Oreochromis niloticus: one gene and its partner. The protein of the gene in region 2 binds, or shares a complex with, the protein of the main gene of each other region. Links are inferred from orthologs where the notes say so. Each region holds a gene or a part of one and is shown on either strand. Other genes may lie near its edges. The genes, in order: taf13 and taf8.

Region 1 (9,488 bases), about 24 Mb from region 2:
TTACAGTCAGACTTTAGGGACCGTATTGTTGTCTACTAGGCTGTGTTGTACAGTTCCCACACTCCTGTCATCATCTTAAAATCAAATTACACCCTTCCTGCTTGAGCTGAACTGATACTTGTTCCTTTACAGTTTATTCAAGTAAATAAAGAAATGGATGTAAAATGTAATGCTGTCCAATTTCTCTTTTCTTTATCAGAATTCCTCAAGATGATGGAGAATGTGCAGTAGAACAAGAAAGACTCATGGACATTCCTCCACCCTTCTGTGAACCCCCATTCTGACCCACTCCCTCCTTCTCCCTCTTGTCCACCTGGTTCACTGCCTTTCTTCTCCATCCTTATAAAAGTCCTCAACAGACAGCTAGAGCACCCAGTGGGGGGTCGCTGGCTGGGCAACATCTTTTCCCTGGCTCGCTTGTAAATGCAGACATCCCCTAGATGCCATGCTGACACCCAGCCCTGTAACAGGACAGCAAGGCTGCAACAGGGTTTTTTTTTTCACTGCACACAGCTTTTGCAGTACGCATGGCATGTCGTGCCATCAGTGACCCCCTCCTCCTCTCTGCTGGTAAAGCTCTGATCTAGATGTAGTCTAGATAGACGGGCAGCCTGTTACCCGCTGCTTAGACCAATTAATTCAACCACTTCACTGTACAAAGAAGTAATTTGCTTGAAATAAATGAACTAACACATGCTCACTTGTAGTTGGTCTGTCATATTTATGGTCTGTGTAATAATTTTGTTTTGAGGAATATTAATAAAATCTGTTTCTTTTCCTCTTTTTGTCCGTTTTGTTCCGACCACAGCCAGTTTTGCTTTTAAAATAACCAAAAGCCTCGACTGAGGTCAGAATTATTTGGACATTACGGACAGTCGCAAAACCTCAGTTCATCACACATGTGGGCACAGATGAGGTCGGCATCATGTCTAGTATTCCTGGCTGTGTTGATAAAGTTTAATTGCGGGTTGCAAACTGTCTGCTTTGACAAATGTTTACGACACCTTTTCATAAAAAGTCTGGAACACTCCTGTTTTTGAATGCCAGCAACTTGCTCCTGAAAAGTTGGGACTGGAACATGTTTCCCACTGTGTTTAACAGCCCTCTGTGAGTGTTTGGGAGATGATGACACCAGCTGCTATAATTTTACAAGGCAATGGGCTTTTTTGGGTTAGTTTTTCCATTCGTGCTTGACATTCAGCTGCTCAGCAGTTTGTGGCTTAATTTCCTGTATTGTGATTTTTGTTTCATTACCACAGCGTGTCCAGAAGGGGGACATGAAGAGCAACCCTCTTTGTGTCATTTACACAACCTTTCTTTAGATACTTCACATACATTTGAGGATTCAATCTGTGGGTTTAAGTTAAATACTTAATTTTTTTTTACTTATTCAAAGTAAAATTATGCTTAAATTCTTGTGCAGATCCACTCTTCACGTATCAGATTGGTAACACAGCACAATGCTGTGCTTTAAAACAAAAGTGTTATGAAACACACATTCACCACAGAACCACGCTGTTATAAATCACAGTGCTTGAGCACTGCCCTACTGAAATAAGCTCCAGTGACTTATAAAATGGAGCTGCTGAATTTCGGATCACCGGACAGCTGCTTGTCTGCTTTCTCCCTCCAACACCAATAGTTACAATTGAAGGGCTTCACCTCTAGCTACTGGTGAGCTCATTAGCAAAGGCTGTCTGATTTATAAAATACTGTATATTGTGTCCTCGTGCGATTTCCAGCAGTGTCTTTGAACCTAATGCCCACAGAGGACCTAACGTGCATGGATTTCCACTTTGCCTGAGTTCTTTAACTCTGTAACGCCAAGAGAATCGGATAATATTTGAAAGATAGGTTTTGTGAGATTTTAAGACCTCTGCATCACCACTGAAAAACATAAATAAGTTCCAGCAAATAAATAGAAGAAAATAAACTGTAGAAAACTAAAGAGAAGAAAGAAGAAATAACAGTTTAACATAAACCAGTGACACACTCCGGGGCCTGATCAACCCTGACAGGGCCTTCTTGGATGAGGGTGTCTAGCGATAATGACTGAAACACCCGATGAATCCAAGGTCCACTACTGACCATGTGTCCCAAATTTTAATATGATAATCTAGATCAGATCTCTAATCCCTAAACCTAACCAAGGAAGTAAAAAGATGGCAGATTAGCTTGGGTAAAAGACCGAAAGTTGAGGCACACAACGATGTGTGCCGCTGGTTTCTGGGCTGCCTTTCCTCATAACAGCCATCCCTCAAGATTTTCACCATTTAAAGCAATGCATTATCAGGGATTGTAACATCTAGTCCTTTTACTGAAGCCACAATAGACTACCAGATGTTGCAAATGGGATTCAAATTTAAACTCACATTGCAAATTGATATTTCTCATTTTAATAAATTAATGACGAAGCTCAATAAACACTCCAGTTTCAAATTATATTAATTTTTCTGACAATGATTTCATAGTTCAGGCTTGTCAGGGTTAATGCGTTCAAGTGAAAGGAAGGGGAGTGTTTCTTCATTAAATAAATTTTTTCTGTGATTGTTTGATGTTTCATCTGCATTTGTGGATACTGTGACCACAAACGCAGTCCATGCAGTGATTTACACTAAAAAACCAAAAATAAAGCCCCATCCTTTAAATTGTATGCTAAGAAATGTTAAACTGTTGAGCTCTTTAACACCCAAGTCCCTCCGAATGCTGAACCCTGTTCACTCCTAGAATCCTATTAAAAGAACCACAAACATCAAATTGGGTCATTTTTTTTAAACAACTGAAAAACTCATTTGTTAACATTTGTGAGTTCACTGTTAATTTTTCTAAGCCGATTTCAAAGATTTCTTGTTGTGATGCTGAATAACGGGGTGTTTGCGCACAAGAAATTAAGATGAGGACCTGGTCACTTTAAAACTATTGGCAAGTCGCTTTATTTTACTTAACCAAAAAGTCTGAATTCAAGCATATACACTGAAATTTCTTGTTTTACTGTCTATAAACACACACGAGACACAAACATGCAGTCTGAAGACTGAAGAACTGACGAGCACACGTACAGTAAATTTAAAGAAACAAAGGTCACGGGAGGAATAACAAACAGTCCCGTTGTGATTTTAAGAGCCATAATTTGCTTCATCGAAAGCTTTCCGAGCTCTCTTCAGCTCCTCGTTCATGGTCAGCAGATCTTTGACTCTAGCAAACTTCCTGGGATCTTTGCGAATGAGGAAAACGATGTCCTCCACCTGGACGCGACCCTGGCGCCCGATAGACATGGCCTTGTGGGTCATTTCCGTGATAAACTCGATCACCAGATCCTCCAGAATATCCACAGACTCCGTGTAAGGGTTCTGGTCGTCTCCAAATCCGTACATCATGCACCGGAGCTCCTTGGAGAAGAGTCTCTTTCTCTTGCCGTAGCCGACATCCACCCCGCCGGAGCCGTCCTCCAACTCTTCGTCGAAGCCTGGCTCGTCCTCCTCCTCCGCCATTTGCTGAAAAACACCCGCAAGCGTTATTCTAAACCTCAACATTACCTGCTCATTGTTAAATACGCGTTAACATTAAACTTACCTTGTGCTTGTTCACAACTGTCTCACAACAACAGCTTGTTATGTGCGCCGACTTCCGCTTTTGTTTCCTTGACTGAGGAAGTGGTGGTTTGTAGAGGAAACAGACAGGGCTAGAAATCACAGATACTCCCCCTTGTGGCCATCTCTCGCCAGTGTTTAAATTTACTCGTGTTATTCGCCAACACAGCTGAGGCGGTAATGCTCCTTTACGTTGGTTGCCAACCGCCGTTAAACACAAAGAAGAAGAAGAAGTGAAGAAGCCAACACAGCTGACGGTGAGTTTCCTTTAAAGCGCGATCTGTTTGATTGTATCGGAAGATCGAACTTAATTTAATATCGCCTGGTTTATGCGGGAATCGCCGACACGTAGCTTGCTTAGAATGTAAAAAAAGCTACGCCATTTTCATTTGGTTTTACTTTAGCTAAACCCTAGACCTAGACAAACTATGCACAAAGGGCGATGACAAGTTGGCGGTGTGAGTGGAAACAGAAGCATTGTTCATGTGGCTGAACAAGAACAACACCTCACAGCTAACGTGGAAAGAAATGGATCTCGGTGCTTGAACAGAGGGTTCAGATTCCAAGTAAACACTGAGAGCCTTATCGCAAGGGCTCAGCACGTGCACGTTGCCGTGAGTAAGTGACACGTCCCCGTGGATCTTGCTGTGGACTCCTGCCCCGCCAAGTGATGTTCAAAGCTTATCTCAGTCAACCGGATTGAGTATTATAGCTAATTACTGACCTGATAATGTTAACAAGTTAATATAGATGCTAAATGGCAGGCTAATGTTAGCTAATGAACTATAAGGCAAGTTAACAAAGAAACCAGTTTGACCTATAAAACGTAGCAGCTATCCAGTGAGCCTTCCTCTCTCAGTCACTCTTGGAGGACTGTTGCTGGTGAGTTCGTCTGCTGGGGCTGTCTGATGTTCCTGTTAGTTAACGCACAGTGTTTAAGATTAGCACAACATTGTTACCAGCTGCTTATCCGCTAGCAGACGCAGTTAAGAGATTGCTAGTAGCTGATAACGTTTAATTTGAGCTAAAATGAATGTTGCCGTTATGCTAACATTGTATCAAATAGGTTTCGCTTAAATTCTGTCTGAGCGCCTGTTCCACTAACTGGCATTAATGTGCACAAACGCAGTCCTGCTGTAACCTTGTTTTTCTTCTCTGCGGTGTTTCTGTTCCTTTTCTGCTGTAAAGAGGTCTGGTATGGCTGTTCGGGGAGGATGTGGGTTCAGGTCGGAGATGGCCCCTCTGCAGTAGCTGTGTGTTGTGGACAGCTGGTCCTGGCAGTCCTGTATGGCGTGCCCGGTCCAGTTCCTGTGCAGGGGGCTGCGCACTGTTGGATTAGTTCTTCTCTACTATGTCTTCTCTATAGGCATCACATTCTATAACAAATGGCTAATGAAGGTGAGTAAAGAAGCTCATACAGCCATGTCAGTTTCCTATAACATGCTTGGTTGTATTAAAGGTGATTAATGAAAATAAGCACCTGAGGGCGCTCTGCTTTGCTTGTTTGGGAGTCTCCTGGATCCTGAGAAGGAGACCTACACTGACTAGGCCATCCTAGATGACCCCAGCTGTCTCTCTCCCTCTCTCAGGGCTTCCATTACCCCCTCTTCATGACTTTAGTTCACCTCACCATCATCTTCTGTCTGTCAGCTCTGACACGACAGGCTGTGCAGTGGTGGACAGGGAAACCTCGTGTTACTCTGAGGTGGAAAGAGTACCTCAGAAAAGTAGCACCCACAGGTGAGTTTTATCTTGAGTCGGGAGACTGGTGATTTAGACAAGGGACAGTCGCCTCTTATTGGGTTCACCGATTGACTAAGCTCTGCGGAATGCTTCGTCTAAAGTCTGTGTGGAGAGAATAAAAACGCCAACCCTGAGGAGACTGATGAAGATATGTAAAAGCAAGCGCATTAAATGAATCGTTCCAAACCAGTTTTGCCTCGTATAAACTAAAATTCTGCCCAAACTTAAGTTGTAATAAGATCAGTTGAAATAATCCCACACTGAGGAAATTTACCTGTTAGAACAGCAAAAGAGTCAGAAGGAAAAAGTGAGTCAAAGACTGAGAAAAGCAAAAATTCAGAGTAATTAAATCAAAAGTAATTAATATTTTGTTCCGTTGTACTGTATACACTAAAACAACATCAAGGTGATTTTAATATGTGAATAAAGGGCAGTGGGATTGATTATATACATGGTAAATGGTAAATGGCCTGTATTTATATAGCGCTTTACTAGTCCCTAAGGACCCCAAAGCGCTTTACATATCCAGACATCCACCCATTCACACACACATTCACACACTGGTGATGGCAAGCTACATAGTAGCCACAGCCACCCTGGGGCGCACTGACAGAGGCGCCCCAGGGTGCGCCCCATGTATTTTTTATTTTTTTTTAGTGGGTATTTGTGCTCTAAATGCAGTGAAATGAGTGGTTTTAACTGTGTTTAAGTTTTAAAATGAACCTGTCATCCTGTACTTCTAAATTCTGTCCTTCTTACCCGCAGCCATCGCAACAGCGCTGGATATCGGACTTTCCAATTGGAGCTTCCTCTTCATCACCATTAGCCTGTAAGTTTGTGGTTTGGAGATTTTTATTAGAAGCTCAGTATTTTATCTTAACCAGTCACTGTATTGTTCCTTACATATTCTACGACTTTTATTTTGTGTCATTCAAGGTATACCATGACCAAGTCCTCAGCAGTGCTGTTTATCCTGTTTTTCTCTCTGGTCTTTAAACTGGAGGAGCCGGTGAGTGTACTGATCACATGACGCTGACAGCAGTGCTAACAGTGCAGTTTTGTCTTCACTTTAATGTCACGCAGACACAACTGGAGAATTAAGCATGCTTCTCATACAGGCAAAATGATACAAGAGGCAATTCTTTTAGTCTGTTTTCTCGATTGTGGTGCATTGCACAAAGCAGGCATCCAGCAACGTTCACAAAGTGCACTGTGGCTGTAGCAGAACATGCGAAATTTCTAATTTGAAAACAGTGCTGCACATGCAGCGGTGATGGATCGGTTATAAATATGCCAATTTTTCTTAATGGTGTCATAGCTTAAAGATTCGATTCAGTTCAACTTTATCTATATAGCACCAAATCACAATAGTCACTCACTATGAGGTGTTTGAGCTCTCACTTCAGTTTTGTATCACTTCCTGTTACAGAGCACAGTGGTGTTTTGTGTAGCTTGATGGGGGTTTCATCACATGAGCAGTAATGAGCAATCCTTACCTCTTGTCTAATCTCTCCTCTAGTTTGTGCTTTGTCTGTTCTTCTTTTATCTGCCATCCTGTTTCTTTCTTCTTCTTTTTTCTGTTCAATTTTAACTTGAAACTGCTGTGTCATTGTCTTTTCTCCCTTTAAATCCAGAACCCATTTCTGATCCTGGTGGTCCTGTTGATCTCCTGCGGTCTCTTTATGTTTACCTTTGAGTCGACCCAGTTTAACCTGGAAGGCTTTATTCTGGTGCTCCTAGCATCCTTCATAGGGGGGATTCGATGGACCCTCACTCAGGTCCTCACGCAGAAAGCCGAGCTGGGTAAGTGTTCAGTCACTGTGGAGTGAGGGCTTCCAAAGAGGTTAAAAAGCCTATAACCTGGAGCTACACCAATTAATTTTGAGTTGTGGCTTTCATCAGGTATACAGTAAAACATGATACACACCATTTCAAAGAGGATTGGTGTGAAATACAAAAAAAAGAAAACAACTATCAGAGAGACCCAAAATATCCTGTTATGTGGTTTCAACCTAGCCGTCATCCTTGAATGGTCTACAAAAAGTTAACAAGATCCACCAGTGATGGCTCTAATGCAGGTTTTGACACAACATTAACAGCAGGTAAAGTTGGGTTGTTGCTTCCCACTGTCTTTCCTCTGAGTTTATTACAGCAGCATCCATCCATAAGCATTTACAAAGTAAAACACATTGAAGCCCAACAGCAGTAACTTTAACTATATGCCAGGCTTGTAAAGCACTGATTTAAAACTCTGCTATGATTTGAGATTTCCCAGCGGGGACACAGTTCCCTCTTATTTTCATCTTTTTCATGCTGCACTGTTTTAGGCCTTCAAAACCCAATAGATGCCATGTACCACCTCCAACCTCTCATGTTCCTTGGGCTCTTTCCCCTCTTCCTGTTTAATGAAGGTGAGTATAGAATAAGTTCATTTTCTTTCATGTTTTGTCGCTGCGTTAAATTAAGCTCTGTAGCCCCTAATTATGGCATTACAAGTCTTTTGAAAACCTTTACAGACCCCACTATGCAGTGTGATGGTCATTTTCCATTTAAGAAACTGATTAAGTGTCAACAAGGTGTCTATTCTGACACCCACACCTCATTTACATGTAAATAGGAAATAGTTCACATGTGTAATAGATCAGCAGTAGTTTCTCAAGCCCAAGACCCAACGTGTAAAAAGTAGTGAAATTTAGAACACAGACCTGATTGGTTTCGGGTTTATGACTTGAGCACAACACAACAGCCAGTGTGTTGAAATTCCAAATATGCTGTAGCACCCTACGAGCTCTTCTCATTTCTCTCCTTTGAGCTCCCATGTAAAGTCTCTCCTCCGTACTCCCACCTGTACATCAGTTGCAGTGCAGAATCTTAAAGGCTGTCTCAATTCCTAAAACGTATGACATGGTAAACAAAGGCAGAGATCCATGCGTCACATTGTGCCACGCTGTGAATGTAATTAAAAGCAAAAAACTGGGCCAGTAATGTAGCCACAGTTCTTTTCACCGACACTGCTTTAAAGGCTGCAAGAATCTCGCGTTTTGTTAAACTCCTGTTGCCTCGTCTTCTCTCACCTCGCGGTTCATCCTGGCCTGGCAGATCAGAGATGACATGAGAGCGAGAGGATTGGGCACAGGAACAAGAACAAACAAGTGTGTGGGACAAGTATGCATTTGTGGACGTTGGAGTGGAAGGGGATTGTTTGAGGTGTGGTCCAGCTGCCTTCACTTCAGATAAATGATATCCCAAATTATTTATAATTTATAAAAAGGAATTTACGAGAAGTGTTCTCACTGTGCTTAAGAGACATTACATTTGATTATTTTGAATGAATTTTTTATTTTGAAAAATCACTTCACTGATGCAGTGTACTGTAAATGCACTCCATCACAGAGGTGTATTTCAGCCAGCTGGTATCATTCAGCTGACTTATCAGAGTCAACTGAATGATATGATTTTTGGCAGTTCTGAGCATGAGGTGGCGTCCATGTGAATAATCTGCCCTGACTGTGGTAATAGAGCTGTGTTCAAAGAGTGGGACTGATTTCAGCTCGATACGAAGGGCAGCCTTACTGAGGGGATACTGGACTTTTCAAAAGACATGAGTGGGTGCCCATTAATCAAGCAGCTGCTACAGGGCTTTGATAATTCTCCACTTTCTGCAGCTGAGCTGAACCCCTGAGAAACTACTGCTGATCTATTACACATGTGAACTATTTCCTATTTACATGTTAATGAGGTGTGGGTGTCAGAATAGACACCGTGTTGACACTTAATCAGTTTCTTAAATGGAAAATGACCATCACACTGCATAGTGGGGTCTGTAAAGGCACATCAGTCCTGATGTAGCTCAGTGACGGAGGGCCTCTGCTTTTGTGCCACAGTCAAGCACGTAACATTGCACACCAGAGATGTAATCTACAAATAAAGCACTGCTGATTGAAGCAGAAGTGGCAGTGTGATTCACCACATGCCTTTCATTATGAGAACAAAAAGGAATTCTTTTATAAAATCTCTACAAGATATTGGACTTTCAAAAGACATGAGTGGGCAAGCCCTATAAGCAGTCTGTGGAAAACTATTGTAACTGCGTAACTGCCGATCTACCTGGAGTGCTGCCACTTCTAAAAGACTCTGTCCTGATTCTTTCCTCTG
Region 2 (10,594 bases):
CACAACAAAAAAAGTCATCTTCTGTGGAAGTCAGTCTGCAGTACTGGTCCCACTGCTGAGGCAAAGAAGCCGCTGGTCTCAGCTCACGCAGCAGGTTTCAACCCTGGGCCACTTCCTCTGTGCAGGGAATCACTGACTGGACTGTCGTAAGCACCAAAGACTGGAGCAGATATGAGTCTGTTGCTTTAAGCTTCATCCCGTCTCATTTCTTCCTTCTTACTTTGGGCTTCTTGACCGGCCGTAGGTACGGATTGTCGATTACATTGTCCTCACTAGCCTTGGTGGATGGAACTACGCCGCTGGGAGGAAGCATGGAATTCTCTTTGTCAGCTCCTGGATCATCCTGAATGATGGAAACATAAAATATATTAGCAATGGATAGGGTATATTTAAAGGGTATTCTGGGAAACTTCTTGCCAGCTTATAATTACATGGTAAATAGAAAACTTGAATCAGAGTTAAGTTAGGGTTGGATGCAACCTGTTATGATGTACCTCTGGGTGCGGGTTTCATGCAAACATATGAATGCCACTTTAGATGTGATTAGCTTAGCTGAACATAATGATTGCAATTGTGACAAAGATACCCTATCAAAAAGTAGAAATTTGCCTATCAACAAACTAAAAGTCATTTACACAATTACATTGATTTCAAAGAATTCATAAAGTAATGCAAGCTTGATTTCCAGCAGTAACCAGGATACTAATTATAAGTAATTAGAGCATGAAACACTACTTGTTTGTTTGGTTTTTTTGTATGTATTAAATGAATGAAGCACGTGTCCTAGCTTCAGAAGTGTGTTAGCTTTATTTTAATATTTTAGCTGCTAGCTGTTTCATCCCATTTCTAGTCACTCTGTTAAGCTGAGCTGTTCCTTGGCTGTATTTTCACAATAAAGGGGGGCTGTTATGCACAACATTCAAAATAATCCTTATTAATCTTTTACTGGACTCTTTGTATGCCCCCCCCCTAAATTCAAGCAAGTCAATCCCCAGAAAAATCCAGCCACCTTAAATTTGGCAGCAGCTCCTAATCAAACTGCAGATGGCTGAGGCGTCTGTGCTCACAGCCAGAGCTGCTCGGTTAAGGATATCCACTCTCACATCTCTCTCACCATCATACAGAGCCAAGAGCCTGTGAGCCAAAAGCCTGAGCTCTTGGCTCACAGATCACCTGTGCTGAATCTTTGTTTGAAACTTTGTTTGAAACTTCTTTAATATGAGCATCCACCACTGTAACAGACAGGGTAGAAAATAAACAAGAAGCATTACAGGTCCCATTTAAAGGGTAAATATAAGGATGATATCAACTGTCAAATATAAATTTTCAGCATAAACAAAACTCTCCCATTTTAAAACTACTACTTTAAATTTTGTGACGTCTTGATGGCAACAGAATTCAACCAGAACATGGAAATGCACTATGACATAAAAACCCCTATGTTGAAATTACTTCAGTTTCATAAAGCCTCTTCTTACTTCGAAATTAGCTCAAATAGATGTTCACAAAAGCGCCATTATTAAAGTCTATGGAAGGCTTGAGTAGCTTTCAGTTCCTAAGAAAATCTACTGGTTTTCTGAGAAACTTCTTCTGGAAACTTCTGGCACATGTTTGCTAATATACTTGAGCATCTGTACTGAGACTCTCTCTGAAAATCTGATAACGCTGTGCAACTAATGGAGTTTAATACTGAAAAAAATGACCCTGAAATTCTGTTATCACAGTAATGAAATGAATCAGATTCTCACTTAAATTTGTTCAGGCTAATCTGCAACAGATCTTTCCCTGTCACTCTAGTAACAGTAAGAGAAGAGCCACAAAAATATAGAGATCAGATGATTCTGTACGCCTGCCAGGAGCAGCAATTTTTTTTCTGTTGCTTAAAATTTTAATGTGTGATACAATTTTAATAAAAGAAAGATTCAAGATTTTGTGAAATCTCCCAAGAAGATATTCATTTGCTTTACAATTCTTATATTTGCTGTTTATACCACATATACATCCATCTATCCATCCATCTATCTATAAATATATATATATGTATATATAATATACATACATACACATTTATGGCACACTAGATCCCGGCCAGGGAGACTTACAGTAATGGCGTTTCCTGCTGTGTTCTCGCCATCAGTCTGGTCATCCTGCTCAGAGGAGTCCGTCTCCTCCAGAGCCTGCAGTTCCAGCTCTGAGGGCAGGAGGGCACTGAGATATGGGATGGTGCTCGGCCGTGCTGCGATTACTGACGACAATCACAGGAATCAGAACTCATGAAAATGCAGCATGCTTCATTCAGTAATCACAAGACATAATCTGGCATTAAATAAAGATCAGCTTACTGAGATTCACTCACATGGGAAGGTAGTGATGTCATCTTTGAATAGGCTTTGAGTTTCTCCAGTCTTGGCAATGAAGCGTGTGAGTGCTCGTTCCACGTCTCTCCTCTGAGTTGCTGCCTTCTCTCTCACCACTTGGTAGTCTGACACGGGCTCTCTGAAAGTCTACAGGAAGAAAAACTCTTAAGTGGCTTACTTTTTAGTACAGTTGTACTTCTATAATACACAATCCAGCTTTCTAGGGATCTCCATAATGAAGTGGAAAAGTTCTGACTCACAGGTGTTTTGATATACGTGTGAGGGTCGGGGAATTCTGGGAAGTGGCTGGGGATGTGGGCTGGATGTGTGCGCTTCTGTCCAGCTGACAGCGCTTTGGGAGTCACAGGAGCATTTGTCACTGGAGCTGAAATTAAAAAATAAATAAATAAACATTTTTCACATCTAAAACCACTGGATCAAAAGGTCTCAAGTCATTCATTTTAATACTAATAATGGAGAGCTGAGTTCCTACTTACGGGCAGTTATGACCATCCTTTGTGATCTTTTAGCATATATGGGCAAAGTATCAACATTGAAACCTTTAATGACACAAACAGAATAAATCGAATCAGTATTGTGTTCTCTTAGCAACGTTTAATCCATATGTGTTATAGGAGGTCTTACCCATTTCAATAAGCGTGACCACTGTGTCTGACAGTGTCGGGACGCTCCTGGCTGTGTGTTCACAGTATGCTTTGGCACATCGACCTATTTCAGTAATATCTAAAAACAGAGACAAAAATAATCAGTTCTGTAAACATGAATCATCAACCAACTGCAAATTCAAGAAACGTCTGCTCTGAAAATAGTCTACAGGGGCTCAGTTATGTCAGTTTCTCAGCTTTTTTTCACCAACCTCTACCAAAATTATTCCCATTAGTGTTTATTTAAGAAAGTAGGTTAAATAAAGTGAGGTGCACTTGCACTGGTGTTCAGATATATATTGTAAAAGTGGCACTTAAAGATTTACAGCTTTCCCAGTGGATGGTGTATACTTAAAAATCATACATACAGCTCTGCAACATCTCAGTTAGGGTTTCCACAGCTGCCTTCTCTGCACTCTCGAAGCCACTCTCAGTCAACAGGGCGCTGACAACGACCTGCAGGGTTCGACGGCGGGCCAGGAGGTAGTTTTCTGCAGGGCTAGAAGTTGCTTTACCAGCACTTCCACGCTGAGAAAAATAAAATAAATGTGAATAAGGGTATACAACAGAAATACATATAGATATGCCGTTGTCTTAATGAGAAAAATATCTCCTTATAGTCACAACACACTTGGGACTAAAGGATTCTTTAAAAGGCTAAATAAACAGACACATGGTTCCAGAATCTTTAATTGACTTACAGCTAAGGGGCACATGGACATTAGCTTTTGTAATTTGAAGTATAACAAACAGAGCATAATGAGCCTAGCTTTGCAAATTTACCACACAGTGTATGTTATTCCCTTTGCTTGGTGGACACACCAATATGCCAACAATGTGCATGCACACTAAGGTTATGAGGGCTATTACCATAACATTAGAAATAAATGTGACTTCTAACAAATATAGTGGCAAGGAGCCTCTAAACCTACAAAATTGTCATATTTTCTACATTTCACAAACATTTCTCAAGAGTCCTTACTGAACAGACTTATTAAACATTCCCAGTGCTGGTGGTGAAAGTGGGAGAATATTTGGGCTCTGGGTGATTTAAAAAGGCATTTTGTTTATCTGAATCAATTCTATAATAATTAATTTTATGTTAATATTAAAATGTATTGTTCTAATTCACCATCCAGCTCTTAGTGAGCTTAGGATGGTGGACATGTTTCTGTAAGATACATTTGTGTAATTGAGAGATTTAATTTTTGCCACTGCAGCAAACTGCATTATCCCCGAGGTACTAAAGCAGCTTGAAACTGCAATGCTCACTCCATTGATTACACTGGAGACTGATGCAACAGTTCTGAGTCAAAGTGATAACACATACTGCAAATGCTCACTGAACCTTCCCCAACCATGTGGACAGAAAACACCTTTAAAATCTGCTGCTGTATTTATTGGGGGGAAAAACAACAAACAAACAAACTGGACTGTCCTCAACATTTTCATGAATCCAGACTTAGTGGCATGGTTAGCTCATGTAAACGTCAGGGATATCAACAAAGATCAAACATTTTTTTTGAATTTTCGTTTTTTTTTTTTCCGCCAGCATTTTTAGATCCAAATAGGCACGATTTATACTTTATAGGCCAAACAAAACAGACAAACATTAAAGCTGCCTAGGGGTGGTCTGACTGTTGGATTTCTTTGTATTATTGTAGGTTTTTTTGTCTATAATATAGAGCGCCTTGAGGGGGCTGTTGCTGTGAATTGGCACTATATAAATAAAATTAAACTGTACTGAATGGCTGTGCCACTTTATTATTAATAATAAAGGTGCTTTATAAATAAACTGACCTTGTCTAAAATGTTATTAATAGCCATCCCTTGTAGTTAGCAGACAGATGGAAGTTATAACAGCTCGAACGGTTTGTCGGTCTACCCCAAATATCGATGAAAAATACAAGAAGTGTTGCTAAAACCTTCATTCTCCCTAAATTTAGTGTTTGTGATATTGGTATAGACTCTATTTGTTCACAGCTGTAATTTAGATGAGGATGTGCCCATATGTTAAGACTAAAGAACATGTAAAACGTACCTCTTCCTGTCACTTTAAGGACACAAACATTTATTCAGACAGGGTAAGCACTGACATAGATAAAGTTAACCCACCTTATAGTCTATAAAAACGTATTTCAAGCTTTCACCGGACTAAATTATATTTATTTAAAGTTGTTAAATTGAATTAGGACTTCAGTGCAGTCTGACTGTTAGCCAAGCACCGCGAATCCGCCTCTACATGCTACATCCGCCTCCTCTCCGTGACCCAAAAACACATTTCTTACCGCTCCCGCATTCAGAGGGCCTCCCGACGCCACCGCAGGATCCGCCATCTGCAGTTATTAGAAACCTCCTCGTTGTTTTGACCAGATTTATATTTGTATCTCTCCGAACACCGTTTAGCCGCCGTTAGTAAACACGGCACGACTGTATGACGTTGTTTCCGCCACTCTAGCGGAAGGCGATCGTATCACACATGTTGTTTGTCTGTCGCCCCCGAGTGTTCATCTGTAAAACTACACCTGCTTCAACTTCTAATTTGTGAAAATCCTCTGCTGTAAAATTAATATAGCAGGCTTTTAATTTGGTAATTTGTAATGCAAAATAAGTACTTGGAAAAGGTATTTGTGATACTTTTTAAAATATATTTTTCAGTCATAGTTCTAAAATTATTGCATTAAATGAAGAAAATTGAGATTAAAAGATCAGTTGCATCTTTTTAGTTCCATTTTCTCTCTTTTTGCTAATTATAACACGAGGTCCGCTCTTTGAAGTAACCTACCCCACAGATTATATTAAAGTCATGGTCTGAGACAATTGTTTGGAGAAAAAAATATATTTTTATTAGGGTGCAAAACAAATTTAATCACACATATTCCACTTTTACAACAAATCTATCACATCACATTCACAAATATCTGCTGCCCAGCAGCCAACATTACTGTAACCCGCAGTCTTCACTGTATCTCATCTCATTTTTTACCCAGTCAACAGGAGCAAACTGCACATTTAACCAATTTTTGAAATAAAGAATGGGCACGAAGGGACCATTTCCACACAATGACTTGATTTACCAACATTACCATCATCTCTAGTGTCCATTTATGTGAAGAGGAGAAAGTTTCTTTAAGAAGCATGTAAGCGGTTGGCCGAGCTTCTCCGCCTTGAAGTCAAAAGATATTTGGCTTTTTCCTCAGGCATTACTGTATCCACCACATCAACAACTTCACTATCAGCAGAGGCAGTGTGTGGCTTCAGCACCTGCTTCTTCTCCTTCTTCTTCAGGATGATAAGCTCTGCTGGTTCATCCTCCTCAGTATCTCTCTCCACAAAGGGCAGGAAAGCCATCTCTACCAGTCCCCCGACCATACCAAGCATTGCCAGAGTAGAGCCGAGCATGTAGATCTTCAGCATGCTCCGGCTGGGTCTCTGTGTCAGCATCTCCTTCGCAAATGGGATGATCTCGCCAAAGTTTTCCATAATGTGTTGTCGATGAGTCTGTTAAAAGAAAAGGAACAATTGTAACCAGATATTCTGTAAACAGTACAAAGATTTACTCCTGACAACTAATCCATTTAATTAAAATGCAAAAATTCTACTATCCACAAAAAAGAGAGAATAATACTTACTTCAAAGCACACGCGCAAACTCTCTTATTCTCTTTTTCTGTGCGCTCTGAGTAATCAGGCTTTGCAGGCAGAGGCAAAGGCAGAGCCTGCATATTTAAACCCAAGCAGGGCCAGGTTAACGCCCACACTGGGGACACAATGCATATTCATGAGGCCACTTGTACTCCAATTGTTTTGTTGGAGATTAGAACTTGTTTGGGTAAAAGGGCAGACACATCCAATCCCTGTATGTGATGAAATGCATGTGATGTGACATGTTGCCTGAACTCTGCATGTGCAGTTCGTGCAGTAAACATTATATTGTTCTGACAGTAAGTAATGCTTTGCAACATTGGTTGGTACTCATTAACTTCTTCAAGCACACACAGGCACACCTTCTGTGTAAGAAAAGTTAAAAATAAATGAATAAATGATGTAAACATTCAGACAGTTAACATGTTACTGACCACTGAACAACATGAGTCCTGGGTTTGTGCCATGCATATTGATCTTTATCAGGAGAGCTTCATTAGTGTCCAATAAGCGTATGCAGGGCTGTGGAAAGCCAGCCCCATTTATTGGTTAATTGATATTGTCTGACAACAGTATTGGTTACACATGGAATACCCCCTATTGAACAGCAATAGATAAGCCTCATTAGAAGATAAGGGTCAATAGAATCCCCTAAAACATGCTGTCCTGAGCTGCTCTGCTCCTGGACCTAAATCTGTCCAAAATGCTGACAGTACGTGCGTGTGTACGTGTCTCAAACTCTCTGCCCTTTGAACCAGTTCCCTGCTGCACGAGAGAAGAGTAGCGAGTTGGGAAATGTGTCTGATCTTTGTCACAGAGACATCATCACTGAGTGAAAATGACAACCACACGTTGCTTTAACATCTGTACACCAGATGAATCATGCTTAACATTTTATCCAGTTTGACTTTTAGCTGTGCTGGTAGTGACCAAATACGTTACAATAAGTCTTTAACTGTCGTATTGCATATTAATATAATTTTCTAAGTAAAGTAGAGCAGTTATACAGATTACTCATGACATTACATTAAAGCATTACTTTTTAATTCAGTACTTTGAGATTTTGAACTGAATAAGGAGGTGAAGATTTTATGTAAAGAATTTCTTACTAATACATCAGGTCAGAGTAAAATACAGAAGAAAATGCTAAAAAGTATCCACACTAATTCCACTCTTCATAGCTAATCCAGGGACAACCTTTCACCCCGTTTGTCCTCTTTTGGATTGCAGGGTTGCCTAAAATATTGCAGGTAATAACGCAATAATTACACAGTCGATAATGTTCCTCTTTGAGCAACTCAGTTTGAGCTCTGGGCATTTATGTTTGCCACTGCTGGGAAAATGTTGAGACTGTTTGGAGACCTTTGCTCCATTTTTTTGTTACTTCTGCCTGAAATGAACAGTCTGTCTCTATTCTGGACTTCACCAAGTCACCATGCTGTGGTTGAGGGGGAAGTTTTATGGCAAATGTGGATGTGAAAACTCTTTCAACAGGAGCTAAGGGGAGAAGGAGTTTAGATACACAGTATTTAAAATGTTTATATGTGAAAATAATTACAGAAATTACACACACAGTGACTTTTTTATTTCAGAGATTTTAAAACTGAGTGTTTTACCTGTAACACAGTGTTTGCAGTTAGATTATTCTTGTTGAATCCAGCTTGGCAAATACAGGAAATTCATAAACGGGGTTAACTGAATAATAATGTAAAGCATATACCCTTTAAGTCAACATAAATTTCTCAGCTTTTGACTCCTATTCACATCTTATAATAAAAGCCATTTAAACCTGGTCACAAGGACATGTTTTGTATCTGTTGGCTTACTTGGCTTAATTTACTCCGTCTGGAACCTGCTGTTCTAAGTACATTGCTCCTTGTAATCCTGACTGTGCTGGAAAGGCTGAAGTACAGAAGTACAGCCTGCTAATTGGCTTGTTGGTTAGATTAACTGAGGTTACCAGCTCAGGTTAAATGAGTCCCAGTTTATGATGTATTTATATTAGGATGATGCTAAATAACATGCAAGTTTGCAGAAAGTTGCAGAAATTAACAAGAAGAAAAAAAAAATCTATATTTAGAAAGTAAACACGTCTGACCAAAGCCTGTTTAAACTGTACCCTGAGTTTCCTGTTGCCCACCTGGCAAGGATCCAGTGTGGCCTTCTGCTGCTGTAGCCCATCAGCTTCAGGATTCAATGTGGTGCTAAATGTGCTAAAAAGGATCAGTACTTTGTAAAATATGCAGACCAGCTCATCTGGCACAAGCAACCATGCTACGTTCAAAGTAACTTACTGCAAATCACCTTTTTTTTTTCTCATTCTGATGCTTGCTTTGTATTTTAGCGGCTCATCTTGACCATGCATTGAGCTGCCGGCTGAAATGTGATTGGTTAGCTAGTGTATGTACTGGCAATAGCTTAATTTAATTTACAAAGTTTACCATTAATTTGTTTCCCAGGAGTGAAGGTAAAACAACCACAGCAAAACAAATGCAGATCCTTTATTTTTGAGTATACAGAGATCCCAGCATAATACATATATAACATTAATATATGTTAAATCCATCATTACAAAGCCACATACTGAGACAAACAGCAGACTGCCCAAAGTAAACCGCTTACAATAAGTGAATAAAGATGTTTAACAATAGACTTTAGCTGAATGTAAAAGTTCTAGTAGGTTTATGGCATTTAATGAATATACTTGTGGCATTTACACTGTTAATGATAGGTTTGTTTAAATATACATTGTTATATATTTTTTTTATTTCAAACTTGAATTTGATCTGCTCTATTTTATTTTATTTTTTTTAAAAAGAAGCAAATAATTAAAAAAATAAATTAATGAAACAATTAACTTAAAGAAAGTAACAAAAATATGAGACAACTTTACCATATTAAATTACAACAGTATGGCTTATTGGATGCAGTAAGCATGCGGTTTTCTTATTCTATTCTATTGTGCTTACAAATGCAGGCTGGCTATAGAAAGTGCTTTACACATGATCAAGTACAATAATTGTCATTGACGTCATTGTGTGTATTATTTTAAGCATGGAATCATGAACACAAAGTGTTCGGATGAGCTGACTTCTGCCCCATCAAAAACCAGTGGTCAGGAACATCGTCACCATAAACGACACGGATAGTCATGCAAAGCCCGGCTAGAGCTGAGCCCATCTCATCCATCGCTTTCCCTCCTAGATCACACAGTTCTGTTGAATACTGTCAAAACTGTTCTGGTTAAAAATGAGACTCGTGCATCCGAGCATGTGAGTTTCGTTGTGGTTTGTGTACTTTGGTGTGGTTTTTGGGAAGCTTCCTAGGCACTCTCTCCAAAATAAAATGCCCCACACAGACTGTGGATCTCCCACACCGCTTGAATCAACCACTTGTTGTTCTCAGTACCTGGGAGCTGCTGACGCAAACCAGCTGTATGCTGGGTCAAAACAGCAACACTGACCTGTAGAGGGCAGAAACACATTCAGGGTGAGAAATAAGTCCGTATGGAGCTGAGAATTTAAAATAAAATACACTCAGCATGCTCTAGATTGTTTGCTTTAGGCTCCTCAGGTCACAGCCAGGGTGTTACCACACAGACACTCAGGTGTTTTGAGTTATTCTGCCTGATTTTCAGATTTAAATCAAGAATACCAAATACAATAAATAAAGAGTTCATCTATGGAGATGAACTGTAGTTGAAAAATAAAAAAGTATTATATAAATCTGAATATTACATGTATTTGTTCGTTATATCCACATGCTTTAAGTGTACCTACCAGGTAAAATGTTTTTTTTCCATGTAAACTCAGCAGCTTTCACATGATGGCACAAACACCAGTTATGGTCTTGCTATTATTGGTTTTTTTACCGTATCTAAAAGCAAAAGAGAAAAGTTTTAGTCAGCCATAATATAAACTCAAAAGGT

What was found.
Region 1: taf8 (region 2) and taf13 share a complex: the UniProt entries of both Homo sapiens proteins name them as parts of the TFIID basal transcription factor complex. The link is inferred for Oreochromis niloticus from reciprocal best matches to the Homo sapiens genes TAF8 and TAF13.

What each region holds. Positions count from the first base shown.
Region 1 is NC_031984.2:31,661,645-31,671,132, forward strand, and holds taf13 (transcription initiation factor TFIID subunit 13), read right to left. Parts: upstream 3,710-9,488; 5' UTR 3,574-3,709; intron 3,495-3,573; 5' UTR 3,492-3,494; coding exon 3,117-3,491; 3' UTR 2,906-3,116; downstream 1-2,905. Other genes in the region: troponin C, skeletal muscle, read left to right, coding at 200-231; slc35h1 (solute carrier family 35 member C2), read left to right, coding at 4,878-4,988, 5,180-5,330, 6,099-6,162, 6,270-6,342, 6,968-7,136, 7,661-7,744. UniProt on the Homo sapiens protein: The TFIID basal transcription factor complex plays a major role in the initiation of RNA polymerase II (Pol II)-dependent transcription.
Region 2 is NC_031984.2:7,317,872-7,328,465, forward strand, and holds the start of taf8 (transcription initiation factor TFIID subunit 8), read right to left. Parts: upstream 5,480-10,594; 5' UTR 5,359-5,479; coding exon 5,311-5,358; intron 3,551-5,310; coding exon 3,391-3,550; intron 3,102-3,390; coding exon 3,003-3,101; intron 2,918-3,002; coding exon 2,855-2,917; intron 2,743-2,854; coding exon 2,618-2,742; intron 2,505-2,617; coding exon 2,357-2,504; intron 2,246-2,356; coding exon 2,103-2,245; intron 344-2,102; coding exon 203-343; 3' UTR 1-202. Other genes in the region: g0s2 (G0/G1 switch protein 2), read right to left, coding at 6,152-6,505; camk1gb (calcium/calmodulin-dependent protein kinase IGb), read right to left, coding at 10,485-10,542. UniProt on the Homo sapiens protein: The TFIID basal transcription factor complex plays a major role in the initiation of RNA polymerase II (Pol II)-dependent transcription.